Linked DNA regions of Canis lupus familiaris. The protein of the gene in region 2 purifies or fractionates together with the protein of the main gene of each other region. This does not show direct contact. Links are inferred from orthologs where the notes say so. Each region holds a gene or a part of one and is shown on either strand. Other genes may lie near its edges.

Region 1 (5,699 bases), on a different chromosome or scaffold from region 2:
TTAGCTAGCACCCACTAATCAGGAAGGCCTCAACATCTGCCAGTGGAATCTGAGAAATCTGTTCTAAAAGTTGAAAAGCTGAATTTATTCGCCACAGATGGGGCATCTGCAAGGAGAAGGGAGCAAAAAGGTGTTCCCAGTTAAATCAATTTGAGAGAAGAGGTTGGTACCCAATTTCTAGAGAGAGTTTGTGTAGGGAACGTTGTCTTTTTCCCTGCATGTGACTATTAATCATCGGATGTGATGGAAGAAATTTTCATGAATTTTCTCTGCATTCACAAATGTAATGAACAGCTTGTGAACTGTTTTGAAGAAACTGAAGTAGAACTCGAGGGCTTAGGTGGGTTTTTAGATTTTTTAATTTATTTATCATAGTCAAATGACTGGGTAGTAGAAACGTTTTGAAGAAATTCACTGACCTGTTTTCTGAGATCAAGGATAACTTTTTTTTTTTTTAATAAAAACGCTCTGAGAGATCCAACTTGTTCCCTCCATGGGCTTATAATAATTTCTTGCTGATGTGGCAAGTTACTTTAAATCCTTTCTGCAAGGAGATATATATTAATACCAGTGTTACAAAATATCTGAACAATGGGCTTGAAACTATGAGAATTTAAGAGTTGATTTGTTCAGGGAAGTGGAGGCAATTCAGACTCAATCTGGATGTGTGGTTTTAGGTAGTTAGCAAGTGAATTCAACTGTCATTGTTGAACTGCTTTGAGCTAAATGGAATCATTGATGGTTAGTATATACAAAGCTATCTGGTGGCAGTAAAGTTAAGACTCAGGAGAGAGTCAAGGATTTTGACGAATACGAATCATCTTTAAAATTTTTTTATGGTTGCCTTTGGAATACAAACTCTCAGCATGTCCCTGAGTTATGAAGCATTTGCCCTAATGCTGTGGGAGGAACTACACTGAACACCCAGATGATTTTGAAATTTCGGACTATATGGGTGCGATCTGAGATGTCTGGGTTCACTTGGCCCTGTGAAAGTATCAGTGTTTTTCATCAAAAGTGCTTAAAACCAGTGTCTGGAATCAGAATTAAGACTCGTCAAATTATAACCTTCTCTGCCATCATTTTGAACAACAGCTCAGTCTTTGAAATATAAACCTTTAAATGCACTTGCTCAGATTGATCCCTCGACCCTGTAACTATCAATTTTTACCTGAATAAAGTTGATGAAATATTTTAGACGCCTCTGGCACTGATATGAAAAATCTACATTACCGGCTAGGCAACAGACTATAACAACTCCGACAAAAATATTCCCGTCGTATAGACGGAGTTATTTAACCCTCCGCTTCGCTATTGAAAAACTTGGCCGCTCCTGCCCCAGCCAGTGTCCTAAGCGCCAGTAGGGTTGACAGAGTTGCTCGCATGCGCTCTCGACACAATCGTGTTTGTCGCAATGGGCCCTGGGCGGAAGGTTACACGAGAGCTAGCGACTTTGATTATAGTCATTTTGTCGGTAGCGCTGGTTACCGCGCTACTTCCGCGCTGGTACTTGATTGTAACAGAAAGTAGTTCCGGCCCGTGTTGTTTCGGCCGAGGAGCCGTCGCCGCCATTTCAAGACCGTGAGAGGTAGATGGCCAACCAGAGTTCCTAAGGTTCGAAACCTGTGACTGCTGCCGCCTCTTAGGCCTGCCAAAACACTGGTACGGCTGCCGCCCTCTTCCTACTACCTCCAGAAACATTCTTGCCAGTAGTGGCGGCAGCGGGTCAATTACCCTCCTCTCGTTCTCAAGAAGCTCCAGATGGCGTCTTCCGTGGGCAACGTGGCCGACAGCACAGGTACCGGTGTCCGTTCTACCTTGGCAGATGCCCTGTTGGGGTCTCGCGCCGTTCTCTCATCACTCCCTTCCTTCCCCCGGCCATCCTCATTACATCAGTGGCATTGCTGAGCTTTCCGTCGTCTACCGGCATCTGTTTTTGGGTTTTCCTCTGTCGTCCGCTCCTTGTACATTTCCTCATTCTTGCTTCCTTTCTGCTTCCATTTTTTTCTTGTTTAATCCCATCAATTTTCTAGCTTCCTACTCTTTCGGGACGCTTCTATCACACGTGTGCTCTTAGAATGTCTCGGAATGGACTGCATTGGAATCTCTGCCCTTTCACTCTCCTTCGCAGCAGTTTTCTCCCCTCATTCAGGCCACCGTCCCCACCTCTCTGCCCTCCCGACCCCCGTCCAGCCCTTTCCCCTTAGCCGGATTTGGTTCTTCTCTGTCAGTCTCGGGCGGGGGTGCCATTCCGGTGTAATCATGTCCTCACTTTGCATCACCCGAGGACGAGCAAAAGCTCTTTGGTGTGCTGTAAGTAATCTCGAGAAGAGGGGATACTGAGCAACACCCCGCTAAGCATCGCCTTTTTGGTGTTCCTTCTGTCGAGCGGCCCCGGTTTAGATTGGAAATTTCCAGGGGTTCCTTTTGCCATCGCCCGATTCTACCCGCTGCCCCCAGCCTGGATTTCCCATCCTGTCTTTCCTCCCCTCCCGCGGGGAACCACACCCTTCCCTTCGCGAGGTTGCCAGCCCTGCGGTCCACTTCCTACCCTTTGGGGAGAAACCATGCTGGAGCTTAGCTGGTGCCTGGGCATTGACCACCCTGCCCGCCGAATGCCTGCTTTGTGTTACTTTCTCCCTGTATTCCTCCGCCGCCGCCTCTGGGTCTTCCATCCCCATTCTTTAGCTTAGTATCTCTTTATTCATAGGGTGTGTATTTTTTTAAGTTTTCATCCCTGCTTGAAGAGTTTGTAAAGCAACTGGAGTGTAGCTGCACAAGTGCAAGGCGGTTGCCCTTTTAGACAATTCAATCGAGAGCATTCTCTACTAAAAATAAGAGAAACAAATTATAGGAGTGTCCTTCAGCTGCCTTTCCATATTGAGGCTATTTGGGGCGGAAGGAGCGGGGGGGAACTGGGCTGCGGTTCTTAGGTTTCTCACGAGGTTATTTTGTTGTTTCTCAGTTGAGACATATCAAGGGTTTTAGTATTTGTGGACATTGTGCAGTAAGTAGTAGGCGAATCTTCAGTTGCATCTTATGTGAGATTGTGGGTAGTGGGATTTATAATTTGTGTTCTCATTTCTGCCAGGGATCCTTAAAGATGGAAGATTTTGTACTAGCTGGTCCTTTTCTGTGTGTATTTTGTTTGAGGACGTTGTCATTTCAGGTGTTGATATTATCAAATAAGGGGCTTTGAAAAGTTGACAAAGTTATGTGTTAAAACGAGGAGCTAGGAAGTTAAGAGATTTGTCTAAAATGTGATTAATTCATTAGTTTCTATTTGAGAAACTTTACCCGGATTTGGATGGGAGTCTGCTCTTGTGTAGTGGTCAGCTTTACATTCTGTCAGGAAATTTACTTTGCTTTCCTGAGTATACAGATCACTTGCCAGCCCTAAGGGTTGGGGAGCAAGGCTCAAATTTGACTTGTCACTGTGACCTTGGTAGAATTTAAATAATTTGTACATGGTTTCCTATTCCAAACTTCTAATGAAAGTGCTATGGTCAAATTCCTAGTAATATATCACTGTTTAAGTGTTTACAGTGGAAACTTAGGCAGTCTGTTGTTTTACTCGCAGTCTCTGGGCTTTAGCTATACGCTTTCTCATTATGAATTTGAATTAAGTCACTTACACAGAGCAAAGTGTTTTTCATTTGTTGTTCATTCTGTCCCACTTTATCGAATGGTTTTATATTTTAGCATTTTCCCATTCTTAAAAATCATTGCAGTTGTAGGTAACTGGTTTATATAGGGTTGTTTGCAATGTCTTAATCCTTTTAGTGTCAGAGCTTTTTGGAAAATGCTCGTCTTAAACCAGCGTGGGTGGAATTTAGCTAATTTGGTCTCCACCATGAATTTGGGATAATAGAGGAGCAGTATAATCTTGGGTCTTTATTTAAAACGTTTGATGATCCCTCAAGTATTTTGGTTCTTGAGAGACTAATTTATCTTATCAGCTGTTTTAAAAATAGCACCTTGACTTTTAGAGTTTCCCCCCCCTCTTATGCTGGCTTCTAGTATATCCCTTAATTTAAAAAATTAAATTGAGAAATCTACAAATAATAGGTGTAATTTTAAGAGTTAAAAGGCATCTGGTGCTCTCTCAGGTTAAAAGAGAGATTGTTACCAATATCCCACCCCCCCCCCACAAATCCAACCTGAAACATGTGACAGAGTATTATGTTTCCAGTAGGATATTCTGACATTAAGTCTTTGTGACCTTGCAAATCACGTTTTATATTTTGTTTCTGTGTGTTAACTAAGGTATAGGGAATAATGTTTAGTGATCTTCAGATACTCCTTCTGACTTATATATAATTTAAAAGTACAAAGTATTTTTGTTCATAAAATGTAATCTTATTCGGAAGTGTTTTTATCTAGTCTGGGAAAGAAAAGTTAATGGTGTATTCTAAAAATGCCAATTCTGCACCTGATGTTAACTTGGAGGTATAAATAACGTGCAGAACACTCTAGTGCTTTACATAGTTTCAAGCGTTTTCATCTTTAAGTTTAATATACCATATTTTTACATTTTTTTGTTGGCATTTCTAACTTTTTGTTTTCCCCCCTCCTTCCCTCAAATGTTTTGATGATTCTCCAGAACCAACGAAACGTATGCTTTCCTTCCAAGGGTTAGCTGAGTTGGCACATCGAGAATATCAGGCAGGAGATTTTGAGGCAGCAGAGAGACACTGCATGCAGCTCTGGAGACAAGAGCCAGACAATACTGGTGTGCTTTTATTACTTTCATCTATACACTTCCAGTGTCGAAGGCTGGACAGGTAGGAGATGTGGGGGTACCTGCTGGTGATTGCTGCCTCTGGGTGCTGAGCTTAAAAAATGATACTTAAATATTTGAACTTGAAATTTTTTGGTACTAGGTTGCTAACTGAGCCACCAACGCACATCTGCTCTTTGCCCACTTGTGACATGCCCAGCTGCCAGTTTTTCTCCCCTTCTTTTGTGGTGATGGTTATATTATCAGTATGACAAGGGACCTTTTCTAGATTTTTCCACCTACATTTGCCTTCTTAACTCTGTTTAGGTAATAAATTATTCTTAGTATATATCTGAGCATCCAGTCTCACCTTTGTAAGATGTGTCAGCTTGAGAAATGGAAATGCTCAGAAATGATGGTATATATTGCTGTGGTAGGAGGTGCATATGTGGTTCAAATTGCAAATCCACACATCATTATGATATACTACTTTTAGCTAATCAGTTGAATTAATCAAAAGGGAAGAATCTGTGTTCTTATCCTTTTAATAAATTGCCATTCTGGCTTGTTTAAACATTTGAAGATGAGTGTCATTACATTTTATCAACAAATGTAAAAAGGATCACGCACATAGCATTTTCATTCTTGATCTTAGTGTTTATGCCTTACAATGTGGCAATTTGGTAAGAAAACTTTAATAAGATTTTATCTCCTAAGGAAAAAGAATTCCAATTTGAGATCTGGGATACCCCTACTTTTGAAAAACTTTGATTTCCAAAATTTTTCCTACTATACAGTAGCTAAAAGATAATGTATTGTTATACAGTTAGCAGTGATGGCGCAGGAGCTTCAGAAACTTAGTTGCTTATGGGCCATACCTTCTTTTTGTAACGTGCATACCCATGTGTCAACAATTTTCTTCGCTTTTTCCAGATCTGCTCACTTTAGCACTCTGGCAATTAAACAGAACCCCCTTCTG
Region 2 (5,912 bases):
AAAGGTAAATGACTTTAGGTAAATGACAAAAATAAAAATCTATGTACATTCAAAACAGTATTAATCATTTAGAGAAATCTATATAGATATAGTATCCCCCTGCACTCCCGCCACCACCAAAAAACTTTTTCTTCAGTCTACAAACCATATGCTAAAGATTTACAGGACTGCTGTGCTCCTCACCTCTAACACCCATACTTCTCACCCTCACTTTATTCCCAAGATATTCAAAAGTACCTCTAGCATACAATCTCTAAGGTCTGCTTCTGTCCCTTCCACCTACAATCACAAGAAACTTACCCTTTTAGGACACTTTTCCCTTTTAATGCCTCCCTAGCTGTGGTGTTAACAAGGTAAAGTCAAAGGAGAAAACAGGGTCAACAAGTTTGTACTATTTCAAAATATCTGCTTTGCAAGAACATCTAAATTTCTCAAGGATGTCATTAAATATTTAGATGATATAAGGGTTCTGATGGGGTTTTTTGCTTTGTTTTGTTTAAAGAATGAGCATAACTTTCCAAACAGTTCTAAAATCAGTGTAATGGTTTTTAAGTTCTCTGGCTTACTACAAATTTTTCTATTCAAATTGCACCAAACACTATACTACAGATCTAATTCCAAATCATTGCATCACCATCACTGCCACCCCTAAAATTTAAAACATGTGACACTGTTAACAAATACTTGAAAAATGCTTTTTATAACTAGTGTATTAATACAGGGCAATTATATAAGATCAGTAGGGAGATGGTCCAGTGTAATGAGCATTCAAGTTCTGTGGAATCTCAACTCCATTCTCCCTTTCTCTGGTGTTCTTAGTTATTGGAATCAGTCTATATACTCTATATTTAATCAGCCTTTTAGCATAATTTTACTATCATATAATAATTATGAATATTATCTTCATATTTCAGATTGTCCATAATAATCTTATATCAATTCATGTAACTCTCACACATCCACACACATACCCTCCACATCAAACAGGTACATATACATATATAATCTTGTTTATTTACCTGTTGCTATGCTATTGGTCAGAAATACAATCCGATTTTATTTATTTATTTTTATTTTTTTATTTTTTTACAATCCGATTTTAATAGTGCTCCCTAAAACAGGACAGCTCTACAATGCAGGTGCCAAGAACACAATGAAATAAGCAGCAGATATTGCTTGTTTTCGTAAATAATTTTATTCTTTCCTTGCTGAAACTCTGTCCTTAGAATATTTGACCTTAATGCCTATGAAAAAAGTTTAAGACATACTTCTAGTCTTCTTGATGTTATAATTATATGCAACACTTCTTAATTTAGGTCAAAGTTAATTTTCTGATCTCATTATTCTGAAATATTAATATTTCAGAATATTAATATTAATTTAATTAATATTAATTTTCTGATTTTCTGATCTCATTATTCTGAAATATTAAAGATTTACTTGTATCTAGTCCCTCTACATTTACTTCTAAATAGTTCTTCCTACAAATAGAAATCTTTTGAATACAGAGGTTTAGTTTAAATCTTCACTTTATATAGATGATAAAACAAACCAAAAAGAGCAGGATGTTTTCTACATTTTGGCTACTAGAAAAAAAAAAGTTTTAGTGTCACAATCCTAAAATTCATTTTTACTTAGATTGAGGCCTTACATTTGCAAGAACCAAATAAAAATACCAACCCACTAATATACTGATCCTTTCAAGAACTCAGTCCTCTTCTTATTAAACTAGCCTCTCCCTCTTCTAGATACTATTTTTCACATAGCTAGCTAGGCAGGAAATGTTTATTATAAATGAACAAATATGTTAATCTATTATAGGAAAATCTAAACACCAGATGCAAATTTTACCTACTTGTCACAATCGCCTAATAATTAGAGAATTTTATTCAAAGAGATCACAATTCAAAAGTACTCAAGATTGTAGAGACGTAATTAACATAATTGGGATTGTGGTCTGCCTAACTATAAAATTTGTCATTTTTTTAATAAAAAGCAAAAGTCTTGAGGTATTCATCAAGTAGAAGAAAGTGTAACAGCCTTCTGTGAAGGAGCAATTTCCTCAAAACCAAAAAAATTATTTCTAGAGTTTAGTCTTTTAGAAGGAAACTATCAGCACAGTCACAATTATGAAGAGAGATTAGATTGTTGTTAAGTGAAAACACTCAATAAATAAAATGTGCTTTTATTTATTCACTAACTTTTTCACATTTCCAACTAAAACAGAAATACAAGCTTAAGACTCATCAATCCCCTATCACAACAAATTTACAAAACAAATGCACAAGGTTTACAAAAATGCACAAGATTGAATAAACACAGGATCCAAATGTGGGGAAATAAAAAAGACTAAGTGGTAATATAACAAAACATTTTAACAGATAAAACTGAGAGGTGAGATGCGTGATTTCTTATTTTCTTCTTTATACGCTCCTATAATTCTCCAAATTTTCCCACAGTTAACATTTATTACTTTCATAATCAGAAAAAAACTCATTAAAAAAAAAATAAGCCGTACATCTTATAATAAAGGTTCATTTAGAAAGGTTCTCCACATTATACAAGTATTACTGACATGATTCACCATTAAAGATAACGTCTCCACACTTTCTCACTTTCCAACACGAAAATGCGGTTTTATGTCCTATTACTTTTCTCCTGCATCTCCTAATGTTTCATTTCTACATACGTACACGCTCTTCATTTTTTTCATGCAACACATTGGAAGTCTCAAGGACCACGTAAAACCCACCTCTAAACTTCGTTATAAAAAAATTAAGGCGGGGGCCGGGGAGGAGGAAGGTTTTACCCGCTAATTACAACTTCGTGAACCCATCACTAGCTACGGAAAAAAAAAAAAAAAAAAGTCAAGGCCGGGTAAACTACACGTCCCACCATGCATTGCTGCCTTGTTCAGAGTAGATCTCTACGGAAACAGAAAAAAAAAAAAAAAATTCTACAAGTCCCACCTGTTACTTCGTTTCTAAACACCTCCTGCACTTTCAGCTTCAACAGCAAAACAAAAACAAGAGCCTCGTGACCTCGCGTTGGATCCGGGAGCCCAGACGAGCAGGGGACCCGGGGTCAGGCGGCATGTCTGCTATAGCGGGTAAATTCTACCAAGATCCAGCGCTCCTCTCTTCTTTCCGGGGCTGAGTGCACGCACAAGCCTTCTCCTATCTGCATCCAATGGGGGGCTCTTCAGCCGCACAAGGGAGAAGAACCGGTTACTGTGCAAGCACAACAGACTTCCCCATGCCGGGGCGGGAGCTACCACAGAGTGGAGGTGAGAGCGACATGACCCCGAACGGCCAGCTTCAAAACACCAAGGGGACTCGTCGCAGACGCGGGGAGAAGCCACAGCCCCGCGGCGACCGTCTTCCGCTGGGCGCCTCCATGCCCACCGGGATCACCACCCCGACACTAACCGCCGCCCTCTCCGCGCGGTTTTGTGCCCCCTTCAGCCGGGTCGCTGGGCCAATGACCTCCCTTCCCCTGCGACCGGCAGGCGGCGAGGGAACGAAATTCTCCCGGGCTTCCCCTTCGCTCCCTCCCCCTTACCGTCTTGGCGGCCTCCGCCCAGGTCCTGCCCTTCTTCCTACGGCCCTTTTCCCTCATGTCGGGTCTTGAACTGACTGGGAGGCTCCCGTGTCCGGGCTCCGGCCGCCCTCCCTGCCTGCTCTGCCCTGCGATGCTTTTCCCGCGGTGCCGGGAAAGGTGGGAGAAAGGGGAAGTCAGGCCGGAGGAGCACCCAAGCAGAGGAAGCGGCGGGGGTGGTGCGCGGGAGGGGGGGGGCGGGGGTCTATGGGGCGGCCGGTCCTCCTGCTGCCGTTGCCACTGCTACCGCCGCTGCCATATTGGGTCCTTACTGTACAGGCAGCCGCTATGGTCACGTGACCGCTCCCGCGCGGCCGTCACTACTGTACGCAGCCAGCCGCGCGAACGTGCGCGCGCCCCCGCCTCCCGCGCGGGGCTGCGGGACGAACGAGCCGGCGGTCCGCGGCGTCTCGTCACTCCCCCGCCCTTCCGCTCTCCGCCTAGCCTTCGGAGCATGCGCGGCGGGGGGCGGGGGAGGTCCGACGCTGCCGTGCGTCGGGCGTCCTGCGCTCACGCCTCCAGCGAAAATCGGCCTGCGGAAGCGGAAGTGGGTCCCTCCCGGAAGGCTTATTGAGCGGCGCCTGACCTCGTGCTGGGCGCCGCGGTGGGGATTGAGCCGTGCAAGAGCTCAAGGTGCGGCCCTCCTGGCTGTCGCTTTATCAGTACGCGTCGTACTTGTGTTTTTTCGTTTCTCCGTGCTCAGTTTTACAAAGGTCATCTTTGACGATTTGCAGCAGTTCTTATATGCAGGTTAACCGATTTCCATAGATGAGAGACAAGTGACTCGCCAAGGACACAGTCCACGACGTGGGGAAACCGGGAATCAGATCGCCAGCCCAGAGCCCTGTTTTGAGCCCCCACGATGCCTCTCAAACTTAGATGATTACCCCCCCAACCTTTTTTTTTTTTTTTCATTAAAGGCCACTAGGGGGGAGGAGGGGGGGTGACTGGGTGGCCGGCACTGAGGGGGGCACTTGACGGGATGAGCACTGGGTGTTATTCTGTATGTTGGCAAATTGAACACCAATAAAAAATAAATTTATTATTAAAAAAATAAATAAAGGGCACTAAGCTTTTTCAAGTGGAGAGGCTCATAAAGGACCCAAATGGTGTCTGTCTTATCTTGGTGAGGCATCCAGTAAATATTTGCTGAAGATTCAGCTACGTCTGTGGTCAGAAATCAGGGGCGCCCGGGTAGCTCAGGTTAAGGGACAGCTCAGGACGTGATCCCAAGATCCAGGGATCCAGCCCCAGGTCAGGTTCCCTGCTCAGTGGGGAGCCTACTTCATCTCCTCCCTGTTCCTCGTCTCTCTTGCTATCTCTCTCTCTAAAATAAAAAATAAAATCTTTAAAAAAAAAAATTATTGTTGGTAGTGTCCATCACAGCTTCTTGATCCAGAATGTGGCATCTTCTGTCGTGTTTTTATACTTTGAAAAGTAAAAAAAAAAATGTGGATCCCTGAGTGGCTTAGCGGTTTGGCACCTGCCTTTGGTCCAGGGCGTGATCCTGGAGACCCGGGATCGAATCCCACGTCGGGCTCCCGGTGCATGGAGCCTGCTTCTCCCTCCTCTGCCTCTCTCTCTGTCTCTCATGAATAAATAAATAAAATATTTTTTTAAAAAGTAAAAAAATATAGTAACCCCTCCTGTTCTCCAAAATAATCTGCTTCAAGAAGTTACTTGAGATCTAGTTTAGTAAACTTAGCCCCATACTGTATTCTAAAATAGGACTGAGAGTTAAGCTGCCTCTTGGGAGTAAAAACAGGAGAGAGCAATATTTAACTTGGAGTCCAGGGTTTGGTTTCAGAATTTCATGGACCCCTAAAATTATGAACAGTATTTTGTGTATAATTATGCATTTTTGAGAAAAGGATTCAGGACGCTCCTGGCTGGCTCAGTCGGTGGAGTATGTGATTCTTGATGTCTGGGTATAACGAGTTCCAGCCCCGCATTGTCGTGGAGCCTACTTTAATTTTTTTAAAAATTAAAGAGGATTTATAGCTTTTCCTCAATTTTTCAAAAGGGCTATTACACAAAAAAAGTATTAATAGGGAGTTTGAGAGGCCATCTGGATACTTCATTATATTTCTCCTTCAGTCATTGATCAAACAGCTGCATAAGAGCAATTGACATGGGTATATTTTCACAAATCCTTTCAGTAACTCATAGTACTATCCATAGCACTGAAGCAACATATGTACCATCTCCCTCTAAAGCCCAGGTCTAGGGATGCCTGGCTGACTCAGTAGAGCAGCAGAACATGCGACTTTTGTGGTCATTAGTTTGAGCCCCACCTTGGATGTAGAGATTACTTA

Evidence for each region. The genes of interacting proteins can lie anywhere in the genome.
Region 1: the proteins of ASXL2 (region 2) and OGT purify together in Homo sapiens (affinity purification with mass spectrometry; 3 studies listed by BioGRID and IntAct, with this or other methods). This does not show direct contact. The link is inferred for Canis lupus familiaris from reciprocal best matches to the Homo sapiens genes ASXL2 and OGT.

The regions. Positions count from the first base shown.
Region 1 is NC_049260.1:56,015,641-56,021,339, forward strand, and holds the start of OGT (UDP-N-acetylglucosamine--peptide N-acetylglucosaminyltransferase 110 kDa subunit), read left to right. Parts: upstream 1-1,761; coding exon 1,762-1,798; intron 1,799-4,603; coding exon 4,604-4,784; intron 4,785-5,653; coding exon 5,654-5,699. UniProt on the Homo sapiens protein: Catalyzes the transfer of a single N-acetylglucosamine from UDP-GlcNAc to a serine or threonine residue in cytoplasmic and nuclear proteins resulting in their modification with a beta-linked N-acetylglucosamine (O-GlcNAc).
Region 2 is NC_049238.1:20,106,061-20,111,972, forward strand, and holds the start of ASXL2 (putative Polycomb group protein ASXL2), read right to left. Parts: upstream 3,806-5,912; 5' UTR 3,619-3,805; coding exon 3,562-3,618; intron 1-3,561.